Linked DNA regions of Macaca mulatta. The protein of the gene in region 1 purifies or fractionates together with the protein of each later gene. This does not show direct contact. Links are inferred from orthologs where the notes say so. Each region holds a gene or a part of one and is shown in the gene's direction. Other genes may lie near its edges.

Region 1 (3,560 bases):
TTAATATAATAGTCTTTTAACGCTTGTCTTCCAGTAATGCCTTGGTTCTCAAAGTAAAGGATCCACTTTCCTGTTGGAAAGAGTACTTCCCTAGAAGTCCTAAAACCTGTATTTTAGGTTCACCCTTAGCACTCTTACTAAACATTCATTTAGCCTCTCTCGGTCTTGATTTCTTTACTTGTGGTAGACTAATAGATATAGAAAGAGGCTCTTTTATCCTGTTTTCCTGATAAGTTCCTAAATTCCATAAATCTACACTTTTTGCTCACACAAACTTTTATATATCCTTATTCTTATACAATATCCACATTTCCATTTCTGTGCCTAATAGAGTTTTGATTCATCATGGATAATCTGTCATCAGAAGAAATTCAACTGAGAGCTCACCAGATTACTGATGAGGTAAATGTTTTACCTAAAATAAGTAAATAATTCTATTTCAGTTTTCATATTGGAGGGGTGAGAGGGCCTTCTTAGGGACCATTTTGGCCTCTTCCTAGTCCATTAATATCAAAGAACACATTTGCCCCTTAGTGCCTTTGCTGGTTTTTATTTTCTTAAAGTGAAAACAATTTGTATGATTTTTATTTTTTAGGTACTTATTACTTAAGTGCAACAAAGATACTCTATTATGTATTTGAGAAATGCTAGACTTCTATTTAACAATTTCCTAATATCTGTAATTTACTTAGATTTCTACCTACATTAAATTTTTATGACTATAAAATTTTTATTCCCATGAACTTCACCATCCAAATATTCTCTCTTTTTTAAAAAAACTTTTCCTTTCAACATCACACTGGAAGTCCTTACACATTTTCTCTTAAGGAGCACTTGAAAATAACCGAAAATGTAGTGATCAACTTACTTTTTTTTTTTTTTTTTTGAGACAGAGTCTCACTCTATTGCCCAGGCTGCAGTGCAGTGATGTGATTTCGGCTCACTGCATCCTCTGCCTCCTGTGTTCATCAAGCGATTCTCCTGCCTCAGCTTCCTGGGTAGCTGGGATTACAGGCATGTGCCACCACGCCCAGCTAATTTTTGTAGTTTTAGTAGAGACGGGGTTTCACCATGTTGGGCATACTGGTCTCGAACTCCTGACCTCGTGATCCACCCACCTCAGCCTCCCAAAGTGCTGGGATTATAGGCATGAGCCACCACACCCGGCCATTGTTTTGTTTTGGTTTTTTTTGTTTGTTTGTTTGTTTTTGAGACGGAGTCTCGCTTCTGTCGCCCAGGCTGGAGTGCAGTGGCCTGATCTCAGCTCACTGCAAGCTCCGCCTCCCGGGTTCACGCCATTCTCCTGCCTCAGCCTCCCGAGTAGCTGGGACTACAGGCGCCCGCCACCTCGCCCGGCTAGTTTTTTGTAGTTTTAGTAGAGACGGGGTTTCACTGTGTTCACCAGGATGGTCTCGATCTCCTGACCTCGTGATCCACCCGTCTCGGCCTCCCAAAGTGCTGGGATTACAGGCTTGAGCCACCGCGCCCGGCCCATTGTTTTAAAGGAAGGGATAGGCTGGCAATTCTTTTTGTTTTTTCCTTTAATGGAGACAGTCTCTCCGTTGGGCTATGTTGCCTGGGCTGGTCTTGGACTCTGGTACTCAAGAAATCCCCCTGCCTCAGCCTCCCAAAGTGCTGGGATTGTAGGCATGAGCCACTGTGCCCAGCCTGAGCTGGCCATTTTTAAAGATAGAATAGCATCATGAATGTGGCCTGTGATCGGATGGTTTTTTTGTTTTGTTTTGTTTTGTTTTTTACATATTTTGGAATGCTAAAACTCTGTGTTTTTTCCTAGTCTCTGGAAAGTACGAGGAGAATCCTGGGTTTAGCCATTGAGGTAAGAAAATGTTAGTCACCAACTTAAGTATAAAAATTTATAGGAGATATCCTAATACTTCTGGCTGGAATTAGTGTTAAAGGGTAATGTATCAATATGCTTTATTATTTGAAATTAACAGTTGCTGAAATTGTCAAATTATGCACTAATGGGCCTTTTTTGTTTTTCCCTTTGACAGTATTGGAATATGACAGGGAAGATGAATTCACTATGAGTTTGTGACTTAATTATTTTGGGGGGCTACTATGTTAAAGTGTGTTTAAGAATACTAGTTCTGTCTGTAGCTCTAATCCTCTGAGAGCTTGGGTTTCTAAATTATTCTGTCTTGCTATTTGACAGCTCTTGTAGGTTTTGTTTCTGTTGTTTTTGGTTTGTTTTGTTTTACTATCAGCCTTTTTCCCACTTCTTTTAGTCTCAGGATGCAGGAATCAAGACCATCACTATGCTGGATGAACAAGGGGGTGAGTTAAATTATTAGCAGAAATTCTTAATTTGACCATGATGCCAAAAAGCCCTATCAGATTAGCCACATACAAATTTCAGCCTTTGGGAGGGCCTTCCCTTTGTAAAGTAAGAATAATATGTTTACTTCTTGTCTTCTGGTTTGAATAATGTCATGTTCACTGTCTATTTGGGATGGCAGGCAACAATGCCCAACTGTGTATATACCGAGTATGTGTTAGACCAGCATGGCTAACACATTAGACATTATGATAGTAATGTAGCTGGGATTACAGGTACCCACCACCACACCCAGCTAATTTTTTGTATTTTCAGTAGAGACAGGTTTCACTGTGTTGGCCAGGTTGATCTCAAAGTCTTGACCTCAAGTGATCCGTCCACCTTGGCCTCCCGAAGTGCTGGGATTATAAGCATGAGCCACCATGTCTGGGCAGACATTGTGATATTCTTACATCATCCTCAAATCAAGTTAAGTCCTAAAACAGATCTAGATTCAGGTGTGCTTGGAAGCACTTGAGTTGGCCCTGATTAATCAGGTCTAGTTTTTATTACTCCTATAACAGCCCTCAGGTTTTGAACCTCATAGAAATGATGGGGATTTGACCTGGTCAGAGTACCCTTAACTTGGTTGTAAGGATGATCTCTAAATAACCATCCCTTGGTCCTACTATACAAGATTCTTTTATTTTTTATTTTTATTTTATTTTATTTTATTTTGAGGGGAATCCCACTCTGTCATCTAGGCTGGAGTTCAGTGGTGCAATTGCATCTCACTGCAACCTCCAGCTGCCAGGTTCAAGTGATTCTCCTGCCTCAGCCTCCCAGGTAGCTGGGATTACAGGCACCCATCATCACACCCAGCTAATTTTTGTATTTTTAGTAGAGATGGGGTTTCATCATGTTGACCAGGCTGGTCTTGAACTCCTGACCTCAGGTGATCCGCCCACCTCGGCCTCCCAAAGTGCTGGGATCACAGGCATGAGCCACCATACCCAGCCATATACAAACTTCTTAGAACAAATTTTTCCACAGCAAGAGGCTAGGTGCCTCAGGATCAGTACGTGAAAGATTGTTATCATGTTGAATAGCTTCTAATACCTTTTGACACTGACTTATTCACTGTGGGGAGTTATTGGTAGATTCAAGGTTGAAGTTGACTGCTCCATAATAATAGCATTTTCTGGTTGACACTGTGAATGGAACACAAAATGTAACTTTACAACTTATTCTTAGAACAACTAAACCGCATAGAAGAAGGCTT
Region 2 (4,226 bases), on another chromosome or scaffold:
CCGGAGGCCCTGGGAAGCCAGGGTGGGGGAGGGACGAAGCTGGTTCCTGTTTGTCTCAGAGATCAAGGCCATCAGCCTCCCTGCACCTTCCAGGGATGTAGTAAGCACCCCCACCCCAGGTTCAAAGGGCCTCGCCTAAAATGCCTCCTGTACCCTTGAGGCTTGCTTTGATCCCCTGCACTCCACCAGAGCGACAGCTCCCCTGGTCCCATCTTCTCTGACAAGCTGGGTGGGAGTGTACACAGCCTCTGGGTGTGCTTAGAGGGCCTAATGGAGATAGGGATAATCTTCCATGTTATCCACATCAAGCCATTTAACGAATATGGATTTAGTATCTACATATGCAATGTATTTGGGGTCCAGAGAGAGGAGGGCAACTGTCCAAGGTCACACCTGCGAGGCGAATACGCATGTAAAGCAGCACCTTGTAAACTGTACCCACTGTGCCTACTACTAAAGAAAAAAAAATGAGAGAGAAAAAAGCCTTTTGGTCCCTGTGCCTGGGACCAAAGCCTGAGCCCTCTCCTGCAGTTGGGGTCGCTGACCCAAGCCTGGGGCAAAGCTAGGTCTTGGCCAGTCAGCAGCCACCACGTGAAGCAGCCCCTGCCCCCATCAGCCCCGGCTGCCTTGTGCCCTCCTCCTCGGGGTCTTCAGCTCACCCCACCTCAGTCGGGCCTGCTCCAGCTGTTAAGTACCCCTGGTCTGAACCTCAATCGTGAGGCGGGGCACCCCCCTCCTCACACCCTGTAGACACTCCCCGGTCCTCCACCCCCTGGACTTGTTTCGGCGGGAAGAGCCTGCCTCATCTTTTCTTCCCACCCTCCTACCCAGTGGCCTGGGATCGCAGGCTTCCTCTGAGACATCCACCAGCGGGGTGATGGGTTGAGACCAACCTCCTCCACTCCCCTCCACCCTAGCAGCAGGGTCCCCGCTCTCGATATTGCCCCAGCGCCTGTACTGACCCTCTCTGATTTCCCAACCCCAGCCCATTCCCAGTGCTGAAGGCGGGTCGCTAGGTGCTGGGACCTGGGCGCGGGGCGAGACCTTGGGCTGTGTGGGATGCAGGCTGGCTTATTGGGTTCACGATTCAGGGAGTGGTCTGGGGGTTAGGTGCGGGGCCAGGCTGCTGTGTGCCCTAAGGGGCAGGTGGCAAGAGGTTTGGGGGCGGCTGTGGAAGGCTGTGCTCAGACAGGGCGGGGTGACGGTGGGTTTAGGGAAGCCGCAGCAACCCGCCTGGTGGTCCCGTGAGTGCCCAGAGAGCTGCCGGGGCACGGTGGCGCCAGACCCGCAGTCCCGCCCGGCACGACCCCAGTCCCGCAGCGCCCCGCCCCCGCGGCCCCGCTCCCGACGCGTCGCCCGCGGCGCCCCGCCCCCGCCCGCAGTGCCCGGATGCGGGTGACGCGCGGCCGCCATCTTTCCGTCCCGGGCAGCCAGCGCCAGTCGGAGCCAGCGCGAGTCGCCGCCGCCATCACTGCTGCTGCCAAGTCCTCCACCCGCTGCCCCCGCCATGTGAGTCGGCCGCCCGCCACCCTCACCGCGCTTCCCTGCACCGGCCGCCGCCCTTGGCAACCGGCCGTGGGGAGTGCCCGGGGTCTCTCCCGCGTTCCCCGCGCCCCGGGGCCAGGCCCAAGCCGGTGACTGCGCGCGGGCGGCCGAGAAGCCCAGCGTCTCGGGCTGGCCGGCTCGAGCGATGGCCGCGGGAAGGAGCGGACCCTGTGTCCTCCTGCCGCGCCCCGCCCCTGTCACCGCGGCCGCCTGTCTTTTCGGGTCGACCCCGATCACATCTGTGAGGTCGCCCTCATTTGACAGGCGGGGAAACTGAGGCCGGGGGGAGGGGAGGCCTCGCTCAAGGTCACGCAGCTCATCGGTGGCGAGGCTGGACCTGGACCAGGGCTTCCATCGGGTGGCCTTCCTCCCGAAAAGGAGGACTGGAGGGACGAGGATGGACAGGTGGATGGGCGGAGCCCTGGCTGCAGGGCCGGGAGACTGCAGGCCCTGGGTCTTAATCCGTCCCTGCTCCTCAGGTCTGCTACCGCTGCCACGGCCCCCCCTGCCGCCCCGGCTGGGGAGGGTGGCCCCCCTGCACCCCCTCCAAACCTCACCAGTAACAGGAGACTGCAGCAGACCCAGGCCCAGGTGGATGAGGTGAGTGTGGGGGGAGTCAAAAGCAGTAGAAAGGACCCTGGGGGTTGGCGTTTAGGTGTAGGGGCCCATGTTGGTTTGGGAGTGATGACAGTTCACGCCTGTGGGTTTGCGGACAAAGATACTTTGCCCCATCCGTGTCTCCCTGTCAGCACGCACTTGGAAGGGTGCTGGGGGTGTTAATCAGCTTTGCTAGCCTGGGGTGTGCCAGCCTAGGCAGGTGTGCTCTGGTGATGGACAGAGCGCCTGAGGCGCCATAGAGGGAGGGTGTTGCTATGATATCTGAGATGTCACCAGCAATCCCCTGATGTGTGCTCCTTGCATGTCCCCAGGTGTGCTAGGCATGTACTGTGTGTGTCCTTGGCATGTTAACCTGGCAGCATCAGGGTGCATGTTCCATGTGTGGCACGGTGGGCACATGTTTGAGGATTGCCCTCATGAGGTGGGCCTTGGCACACCCCCTTGCCCCGTGGGCCCTTCTCCCAGGTGGTGGACATCATGAGGGTGAACGTGGACAAGGTCCTGGAGCGGGACCAGAAGCTGTCGGAGCTGGACGACCGTGCAGATGCACTCCAGGCAGGGGCCTCCCAGTTTGAAACAAGTGCAGCCAAGCTCAAGCGCAAATACTGGTGGAAAAACCTCAAGGTAAGGATGGGGACAGGAAGGAGGACTGGCAGGTGAATGGGGTATCATAGTTAGTCTCGCTGATCCTCTCCTCTCACCCCCAGATGATGATCATCTTGGGAGTGATTTGCGCCATCATCCTCATCATCATCATAGGTGAGTAGGCTGGGAATGGCCGGGGCCCTTTCCCTGGAGAGGTTTCCCCAGTGGATTCTGGGTTTTGAAGGTCATTAACCTAGTTTTTACTCTTCAGCCAAAAACACATATAGCTGCTAATGGCAATTCTGATTCACCTAGAGCCAAAAACTTTGATGTTATTTAGCCTGCATTTTGCCTGGTTCTTGGCAGTTTTGTTAACATTTAGAAATATAAAAGTTGGTGTATCCATTGAGGACCCTTTGGGCCTAAGAGCCCAATCTGAGAGCCCTGGAATTGAGGAGTGGGAGAAAGGAAAGGCCCAGGGGCTTGAGACATGACCAGGAAGCCAACCACCCCATTATTTGAGAGCTTGTGGCCTCAGGCTCAGAGGATTAGGGTATGTGGCCTCAAGGCCATACCATGGAACTGAAGGGACCTCATAACCTACCTGTCTAACCCCTTGCTTTGTAGATGGAGAAACTGAGTCCAAGAGAGGGGTAGGGGTGCCAGCCAGCTGGGGAGTGGGGAGGATTGGAGCAGGGCCAGGCCTGACACACTGCTTTCTTTCTTTCTCCCTCTCTCTCTCCCCTCTCCCTCTTCCTCATCTTCTTCCCCTCTCTCCACAGTTTACTTCAGCACTTAAATCCCTGAGGAGTCTGCCCTGCCTAAAGAAGGGCCTCTCCCCCCACCCTCAGCCGTTCCTCCACCTCTCAGCCATATCTTTCAGCCCCCCTTCCCTGGATCCGTGCGTGTGTGTGTCCGTGTGTGTGTCCCCCTGTAAATAGCCAGCTGTTATTTATACATATATAATATTATATATATTTGGTCTGTTTGTAGTTTTATTACTAGAAGATTTTTCTGGTTGTCCTTAACACCCCTTCCTGAGGTTCCCTTCACCTCCTCTCTCTTGCCTGCCTTCCCTTTCCCTTTCTTCCTGACTAGCCCCAAGTCCCTTCATTTGCATCTGCTATGCAATAGTCCCTCTCCTCTCCTTCTTCTTCCCTCAGATTTAGCTGATCCTTCCCCCCACCCTGGCCTTCCTTTCCTCCTCCCTCTCCCGGTCATGCTCCCTCTGCCCCGCCCTCAAAAAAGACCACAAAAAACAAAAAGCATCTGTCCAGGCTTCCTTAGGTGCATCTTGTTTGCATCCAATGGGAGGCTCTGAGACTGGCCCCACTTGGTCCTAAGAATCCCAAGGTCTTTGGGAGTGTCCAGCATGTTAAGTAGCGTATCATTACATACTGCCATCCCTTTCCATTTCTTTTTGTTCCATCACTCTTCTCTCAACTGGTGTTTCTTTTTTTACTGAGGAGTTAGTCCCC
Region 3 (4,229 bases), on another chromosome or scaffold:
ATCATTTGTGTAAGGCAGTGCAGTTATTTGAAAGATAGACACTAATTTAATTCACCTTTTCAGTTACAATCCTCTGAAAGTCTTCTAAAAGGCATTTTCCAGCGATGACGAACGTCCTCCTTTCTGAGTATTGTGTCATCGCTGCTCCATTCCCTTTCACTGCAGAGCCTCTCCTTATCTCCCTAGTGCTCCCTCTTCCATCTGATCCATCTGGCCGCTACTGCCAGAGAAATTGTGCAGCACGGATCTCCCAAGTCCGTGAGTCAATGGTTTCCAGGGCCCACTACAATCAAATGACATTTTTCTTGTTTACCCTCTTTATTCAGTCTTCTTTTCACTTGTACCCAACCTGCACCCTGTAGGTGGTCTGTGCACACTGCGTCCATTTTCACTGCTGTCTTTGTTCATGGTGTTTGTCCAACCCTTACTGGAAAGTTCTTTTCTGCTAGTACCCAGCTCAAATCCCACCGCCTTTGTGACAGTCTCGTTTATTCGAATATATACGAATGTTTCCCTTTTCGAAGTATTCTATTTAGAGTTGGAAAAAACAGCATAGTATTTAAGTACTGTATTTTTCACTTCTCATTTAAGAGACCCACCAATGACCAAACACCTATAGTGTTTTATTTTTTGATGTCGGTAACTGTGTTGGTAGGAATATTTCAGTGACAAATATATACAAGGTAACTCACTGCGTTCAGATTTGTGCTTCCCTCCCTTCGACCAAAACCTGAGGACCTATTCTGTGTTAGGGCCTAAAAATACAGAAATGAAGGAACTACAGTCTTGATGCTAAGGCTCTCGTAAGCAGATTATAATATGATCTGCAGGGACAAATATTTGTGTTACCGAGGAAAACATGAGCGGGAACCTAACCCAACCCCATGTGACAAATACCTGAAATGGACTTCCTATTTCAACTACTTTCTCAGAGAAACATGGTGCCCTCGGGATCACTAGGTTAATCTGGAACATTCAGCAGAAGCCAATCATCTGTCTCTAATACTGTTAGAGAGAAATGGTCCCGAGCCCAGAATAACATGAGTTGCGCCCACCCTCACTTATCCACACAGTCCCCAGCCAGTGCCTAATGCGCCACGTTTGCAGACCACGTCCCCAAGCGCCAGCGCGGGCCGCGGTGCAGAGAGGAAGCTGTATTGACCTGCACTCTGCGTTTCAGAGCCCGGACCGCCCTGGGACCCCTGTGGCCCTCAAGTTCCCAAGTGACCTAGTCCAGGGAGTGGACATCTCGCTCTGACCCCGCCCTGGACGAGCCCGCCACGACGCGCCCGCCCACGACGCCCCCGCCCACTTCCGGCGCGCCCCCTCTGCGCCCCGCCCACTCCCGCCGGCCCTGCCTAGTGACGTCTTTGCCCGGAGTCGCGCCGTTCCGCCCATCTCCTTGGCCTCCGGTCCCTACTTCGCTGCTCTGCTGACCCTCGCTCGCCGCCGCCGCCGCCGCCGCTGCCAAAATGTGAGTGACGCTGCGCGACGCGGGCGGCTTCGGGCCCCGCAGGCGGCAGCTCGCGCTGGGATCGCCGTACCGCCCAGTTGCCGCCGGCCGCCGCTCGGACGCAGGCCGGGGCTGCGCGGGGATCCCGAGGCCTGGGGGTGGGCGGTAGCCCTTGGGGCGCGGGCTGCAGACGGGCCGGGCGGGTTCCGCTGCCATGGGGCGGACGCGGAAGGGGCGAGGGCGGGGCGGCGAGGCGCTTCCCGGAGGAAGTGAGTTGCCCGCCCGCACCCCGCTCCTCGCCCCTTCCCGTTCTAGTCCCAGAGGTCCCGGAGAGGAACGGGGACGACTGCCCTGGTTCGGGAGGGCCGGCTCTCGGCCCAGTTGGGCCCCGGAAGTTGCAAAAGAAAGGACCTCGGCCCTGTGCTGAGCCACTGTGGGCCCAAGAGCTCCTTGCCTGGCTAGGGGCATCTGCACTGGAAAGATCACTTAACCGTGGGCCTTCGCACTCTTAAGCGAAAGCGCTCTTGTGGCCCTTGCAAACCGGTGCTTCCAGTGGTAACGCTCAGAGAATGTTCATGGTTAAGAATCACAAGGACCCTCTCTTCCACCTCCATTCTGTTCATTGCTCACCGTCGGAGGAAGCCCCGGGTTTCTTCCAGGAGTTGGGGACCCCCCCTCGAATGTTCCTGCTGAGGCTGCTGTGTCAATAGATCACAGTGGTTAAGATCTAGATCCCAGGTACACAGGACCTGATCTAAAAACAATCTGAACGGCAGCCAGCTGTGTTGACTTTTTAAACCTCACTTTACTCATCTGTAAAATGGGAGTAATATTCCCCTCAGAGAGTTATGAGAGTTGAAGGAGAAAATGCATGAAAAGAGTCTAGCACCACGGCATGGTCCTTACTTATCTACCAGACACTAAACTCTGTGAGGACGGCGATGAGATCTGTTGTAGCCCTGGTCATTGACACATGACAGATGTAAAGTGACTGTTCAAACAGTCCATCAGACTGTTGTATACTAAGGTACATGCTAGGTGCTATCTAGGATACAGAGAAGAGAGTAAGAAGACCCAGGAACCTGTAATCTATTCGAGGAGGCAGGACTTTATACCTGAAAAACCAAAGTGATACTTTCCAAGTAATGGAGCCAATAATGACTTCAGAGTCAGAGTGGTTAAGAAGGATCTGCATGAGGAGAAATAAAGCCTTTGATGAAGATTTTAAAAGATGAGTACCTTCCCGGGGCGGGCGCGCTGGCTCATGCCTGTAATCCCAGCACTTTGGGAGGCCGAGGCAGATGGATCACCTGAGGTCAGGAGTTCAAGACCAGCTTGACCAACATGGTGAAACCCCGTCTCTACTAAAAATACAAAATTAGCCGGGCGTGGTGGTGCATGCCTGTAATCCCAGCTACTTGGGAGACTGAGGCAAGAGAATTGCTTGAACCCAGGAAGCGGAGGTTGCAGTGAGCCGAGATCACACCATTGCACTCCAGCCTGGGCAACAGGAGGGAAACTCCGTCTCTCAAAAGAGGAAAAAAAAAAAAAAAAGAGTACCTTCCTAAAAGGGGAAGCATTGCTTCAACACACCTTTCCACTCACACCAACCGCTCCCTGCATCCCAGTGTTCCTGACTCTGTTTCTGTAAATTAATCTATTTTTCTATATTGGAAAAAGGGCATTCTATAACTGTTTATAACTATGAAAACAGTTCCTGCCACAATGAAAAGATCAGGAGAGTACTGAGTACGTTCAAGCAGATGTGTGCCTTAGAACAAGTTTCAAAAAAGGACAGTAGAGTTTACCTGTCGTGGGATCAGATACTTCAGGGATACAAAGTAGGTCCTATTAAACCTTCACGTTTGTCCCTTTAGTAGGTGGGACAGTCTTGGAAATTATAGAGAAATTAGAAGAAATGTAATTAAAACTTTTGTTCATTGCTTCAGGAAGAATTTCTTTTTCTGCTTTAGTTCTAATGTAAGAAATTGTTAACAGTGAGAGTCCCGGAGTAACTTCTTTATACTTAAGAAAATGTATTTGGAATCATAATTTACTCATGCTCCTGCCTTTACATGTTCCAGGTCTACAGGTCCAACTGCTGCCCCTGGCAGTAATCGAAGACTTCAGCAGACACAAAATCAAGTAGATGAGGTATTGCTCTGAAATGTTGGAAATATGAATTTTAAACAAGTATGAGCACTCTGGAAATCTGTTTAGAAAAAGTATCATGAAAGTGTGAATGTAAAGCAAATTCTGACTGTATCATAATTGTAACAAAACTTTGCTCCCTGCTGTGCTGGAAGATCTAAGCAAAAGTCAGACTTTCTAGGTTTCATGCTTGTTTTCCTGTGGTAGAATCACATACCTGCTCATAACATTTAGCTCAGGAAAAATAAAAAATCATATGCTTAAAACATGAACACCACTCCCTGAGTGTATTCCCCAAGAACCACTTTATAAAATAGGATAATACAATGTTAGGATTAGGTCTTTAGATTGCTCAAGCCAAGACCAGTTCTTCTGATCAGATTTTTTATCAAAATGCTTTGTCCACTTACTAGTTATCCAGCCTGAGCAAGCCTCTCTGTAGAATTCATCTCTAATGGCTGTCCACTGACTCACACAAAGTAGATACTGTCAAACTCCATTAGCCCAGCAAATCTCTATTTGTAGAATTCTTGAGCTAGAGGACCTTCATCTTTTGTTCTGCACTGTATGTGGAGAACCACAGCAAAAGATTGAGAAATTCAGACTAGTATTTCCACATTCCTAA
Region 4 (4,106 bases), on another chromosome or scaffold:
GGCCTGGAGCCAGGTTAGTGGAAAAGTCCTTTGCCTTGGGCCCCTGCTCTGGTATACCAGGGCAGTCTTCTGATCACTGATCACTGACTGGGATCAATTACCTCTGTGGTGGTCCCTGAAGGGAAATGCAGAATTGCTGAACTCTGGAAGGGAAGGAGGGGTTTGGTGAGCCCTCATTACAGACACTGTGCTAGTGGCAGTGCACTGCACACGCTATCTTTTTTTTTTTTTTTGAGACAGAGTCTTGCTCTTGTTGCCCAGGCTGGAGTGCAATGGCATAGTCTTAGCTCACTGCAATCTCTGTCTCCCAGGTTCAAGCGATTCTCCCGCCTCAGCCTCCTGAGTAGCTGGGATTACAGGCACCTGCCACCATGCCTGGCTAATTATTTTGTATTTTTAGTAGAGACGGGGTTTTGCCATGTTGGCCAGGCTGGTCTCGAACTCCTGACCTCAAGTGATCTGCCTGCCTTGGCCTCCCAAAGTACTGGGATTACAGGCGTGAGCTACCATGCCCAGCCTCTTTTTGCTTCTTACCAGCACTGTCTGAGCTAAGCATCAGCACCTGCAAACTCCACAGAGGTGAAAAGGTTCACTCAGGGGCCTGTAACTAGTAACCCAGAGCTTTCTGAATCAGAGCCCAGGATCACAGTATTCCAGACTTCAGGGGTTTTAGTGCTTTCTGTCACTGAGGGACCTGAGAACAAGTGTTATCCAGCAAGAAATTTTCATAACTGCATTTTGTTTCCCTGTGAGCCAGGCCTGGCATGGTTGATCTCTGTCTCTAGAAACTGGAGTCAGATATTCAAGACATTAAAAGGAGATGGCTGGTGGGGCGTCATGGCTCCTAGGACTTTGGGAGGTTGAGGTGGAAGGATTGTCTGAGCCCAGGAGTTTGAGACCAGCCTGGGCAACATGGTGAGACCTCATCTCTATTTAAAAAAAAAAAAAAAAGAGAGAGAGAGAGATGGCTGCCCTTTTTAGATCAGGAGGTCCAGCCTCAGGAAACCTTGGAGGGCTGCTTGATCTTTCTTTTCTAATTCCTGAAAAGTTAGAAGACCTTTAACATCTGAGAGCCCTATTACTCTAAGCTTAAGCTCTTGTTTGGGAAGCCACTGGGTGGACAGTGAAGAGTGCCCGCCTACCTGGGGAAACCTGAGTTAGGTGTGGCTGGAGCGACTCGAGATGCGAGGTGGGCGGGGGCAGGCTGAAAGCTGGAGCAAGCAGGAAGTGAGCTGACGGCCACCCTGGGAGGAAGCCGACTAGGCGAATTCACCTGCTGATCGGCCTGGGCTGCTCTGAGACATGGTGAGCGAACTGGAAACTAGGAAAGGGCTGATTTAAAGAGGAGCCAGAAGGGGCTCGGGACTGGGGGTTGGCTGTGTGGGGGGAGGAGAGTTGGCGGCAAAGTTAGAGGGCTGGGCCAGTGCTGCCTGTGGCCTCTCCTCTTTGACAACTTGGCTGCAAATAGCTCTGAACCGTCCTAGCAGGTGTTTCTATTCCTTCTTCCTCCCTCCCCTGACCTCTGTGCTGGTGGGGAGCTGGGCTTCCGTGCCAGTGCCAATGGGGGCTCCGAATTCCAGGCAAAGTGTTGTTGTGCCTTCCTCCTCCAGGGAGCCCGAGGCGGGTGTTGTGACACCACCAGGCAGTGCCTGGGCAGTTTCCAGTTCAGATTCCAGCCCAGCGGCAGGAGCTCTCCTCTCTGGCCTTTCACTTTATCCCTACACAGAAACACAAAGGATTTGTGTGTCCACTGAGTCCTTTGGGTGTCCTTTCTCCATTAACATGAAGAAGAGAACTAAGGGTTTATAAGATAACCAGAAGTTGGTTCTCTGTGATAAGCTAGTTCTGACCCATGCCACTGGCCTGTTTTTGGAGGTCAAGGAGGGAGGAGCTTAATAATATTTTTCTCTCCTTGTTCAAAAACCTTGTCATGAAGCCTCTGAGATGAGACATCAGCCAGGGAGGACTAGTCCTCCATTTCCCCCAACACCCAGGCGGGTATTTTTATTTAATGTCTGCATAAGCAGGTGGTTGCTTGGTGCCTGCGCGTGGTGCCCAGTGGTAGGGAAAGCAGAAGTGTGTGGCTCAACGGCTGTGGGCGCCTTCTGGGGTACTTGGTTGCCTGTTGTTCTGGGTCACAGCAGCAATGGCATTGCGGCCAGGGCCATGCTCCAGCAGGTATTTAGAGGGGCAGATGGGTGAGGCTGGGTGAGGGTGTTTTGCTGGCCAGCACAGACACTTTCAATGAGGATCCCGAGAAATCAGGAAAGGGGGGTGGCTCCGGGAATTGTAAATAGTGGTGGGCTCTGCCCTGGAAAGGGAACATTGTGAGATGCTGGCTCTGCTGTATTCTACGGCCTTCTCTAGGGAGCAAGGAAGCAGCGGGGAGGGATTTAGTGATGCGCTGCTTTTCCTTGTCAGGGGTCCTAACAATCCCGAAAGAAGTTTGATCTAGTCTCTTTAGCATCACGTCTTACCTTCTGAGGCTTACAAATGCATTTATTTTTGATTACACAAGTAATACATGAAAACATTCTCTTTGTAAACATTTCAAGCATTTTACAAAAAGCTGAAGTCTGCCTGAGGCCTTACCCTCCCCAGGCCTCTGAGGCCAAGTCTCCAGTTCCCCCACCACTTGGTCTAATTAACCCCGTGTTGCTGTGCAGGAGGAAGCCAGTGAAGGTGGAGGAAATGATCGCGTGCGGAACCTGCAGAGTGAGGTGGAGGGAGTTAAGAATATTATGACCCAGAATGTGGAGCGGATCCTGGCCCGAGGGGAAAACTTGGAACATCTCCGCAACAAGACAGAGGATCTGGAAGCCACAGTGAGACAGGGAGCCCACTGGAGGCTGGAGGAAAAGAGGAAGGGAGGGAATTTCTTTTTGGTGGGGCAAAATGAACAGGAGGGTCAGAAGTGTAACATTTCTGTTGCCTTTCACCTGGTTTGGGAGCTGATGTGAGCTGAGTCTCCACTTCTGAATCTGCTCTGCTCCACAGATTGTTATGGATCCCAGGGAATGGATCCCATGACTGGGGCTTGAGGTGGCAGCTCACCCATAGAGGCATATTCTGAGACTGATAGCTCAGTCAGCCCATGCATTCTCAGGCTTCTCTCCCGGGAAACTTGTTTTCCCTTTGAAGCCTGCCCATGACAATCATTTGGATCTGACCTTCCCAGGGCAGAAGTATTGGCTTTGAGGAAACCCCCCCACCGTGGCCTCTAGCCTTCTCTAGGAGCTATTAGACAAGGGGTGGGAAATTGCTGGCATCTTGCTGAGTTGGCTTTAAAAAGAAGGAGGAAAGAGCAGAGAAATGCTTTGATCCCAGGGTCCCCTGCTAGATGAAGGCTAAAATAATATCTCCCACACATCTTGCTAGACTTCATTCTTCTCTCTCTCCAGCCAGGGGCTGCGGCCAGCTGTTTCAGGGAGGAAGTAACTCCAAAGTTGAGCAAAGTCTGGAGCCTCAGGTTTTGTGTCCAGCTGGGAAGCTGGCTCTGGCTTTCTTAGTCCTGTGTGAACTCTTGGCTCTTGGGTATTGCTCCCTTGTCTCCCTGGGGCTCATTGCCTGTTTCTGTAGCTTAATTGTAGCTTAATTTGGGGAGCATGGCCCCGGGAATTTTTTTTTTTTTTTTAATAGAGCCTCACTCTGTTGCCCAGGCTAGAGTGGTGCAATCTCGGCTCACTTCAACCTTCGCCTCCTGGGTTCAAATGATTCTCTTGCCTCAGCCTCCTGAGTAGCTGGGATTACAGTGTGCACCACCACACCTGGCTAATTTTTGTATTTTCAGTAGAGACGAAGTTTTGCCATGTTGGCCAGGCTGGTCTCGAACTCCTGACCTCAGGTGATCCACCCACCTTGGCCTCTCAAAGTGCTGGGATTACAGACTTGAGTCACCATGCCTGGACAAGCACTAGGAAATTTAGTGTCTATAACTCGAATTGCTGGGCATGGGGAAGAGTGCATGGAGGAGGAGGAGTTCCCTTACTTCCAACCCTCTGTACTGTCCTGGTCCCTCCTCCAGCCTCAGCAGTCCCGATGGGGCAAGGAGTCCTGTAGCTGGGAGATGTGCCCACCTGGAGCCTGCATCCCTCAGTCCCAGGATC

Evidence for each region. Proteins that work in one complex are often made in the same cells at the same time.
Region 2: the proteins of SNAP23 (region 1) and VAMP2 purify together in Homo sapiens (affinity purification with western blotting; 4 studies listed by BioGRID and IntAct, with this or other methods). This does not show direct contact. The link is inferred for Macaca mulatta from reciprocal best matches to the Homo sapiens genes SNAP23 and VAMP2.
Region 3: the proteins of SNAP23 (region 1) and VAMP3 purify together in Homo sapiens (affinity purification with western blotting; 6 studies listed by BioGRID and IntAct, with this or other methods). This does not show direct contact. The link is inferred for Macaca mulatta from reciprocal best matches to the Homo sapiens genes SNAP23 and VAMP3.
Region 4: the proteins of SNAP23 (region 1) and VAMP8 purify together in Homo sapiens (affinity purification with western blotting; 3 studies listed by BioGRID and IntAct, with this or other methods). This does not show direct contact. The link is inferred for Macaca mulatta from reciprocal best matches to the Homo sapiens genes SNAP23 and VAMP8.

The regions. Positions count from the first base shown.
Region 1 is NC_133412.1:19,918,228-19,921,787, forward strand, and holds part of SNAP23 (synaptosomal-associated protein 23), read left to right. Parts: intron 1-331; 5' UTR 332-345; coding exon 346-402; intron 403-1,795; coding exon 1,796-1,837; intron 1,838-2,249; coding exon 2,250-2,298; intron 2,299-3,532; coding exon 3,533-3,560. UniProt on the Homo sapiens protein: Essential component of the high affinity receptor for the general membrane fusion machinery and an important regulator of transport vesicle docking and fusion.
Region 2 is NC_133421.1:9,677,660-9,681,885, reverse strand, and holds the start of VAMP2 (vesicle-associated membrane protein 2), read left to right. Parts: upstream 1-1,406; 5' UTR 1,407-1,507; coding exon 1,508-1,509; exon of another isoform or gene 1,510-1,942; coding exon of another isoform or gene 1,943-1,950; intron 1,951-2,024; coding exon 2,025-2,145; intron 2,146-2,628; coding exon 2,629-2,787; intron 2,788-2,870; coding exon 2,871-2,922; intron 2,923-3,530; coding exon 3,531-3,547; 3' UTR 3,548-4,226. UniProt on the Homo sapiens protein: Involved in the targeting and/or fusion of transport vesicles to their target membrane. Major SNARE protein of synaptic vesicles which mediates fusion of synaptic vesicles to release neurotransmitters.
Region 3 is NC_133406.1:233,019,365-233,023,593, reverse strand, and holds the start of VAMP3 (vesicle-associated membrane protein 3), read left to right. Parts: upstream 1-1,409; 5' UTR 1,410-1,472; coding exon 1,473-1,474; intron 1,475-3,537; coding exon 3,538-3,607; intron 3,608-4,229. UniProt on the Homo sapiens protein: SNARE involved in vesicular transport from the late endosomes to the trans-Golgi network.
Region 4 is NC_133418.1:38,814,517-38,818,622, reverse strand, and holds the start of VAMP8 (vesicle-associated membrane protein 8), read left to right. Parts: upstream 1-1,286; 5' UTR 1,287-1,302; coding exon 1,303-1,305; intron 1,306-2,666; coding exon 2,667-2,825; intron 2,826-4,106. UniProt on the Homo sapiens protein: SNAREs, soluble N-ethylmaleimide-sensitive factor-attachment protein receptors, are essential proteins for fusion of cellular membranes.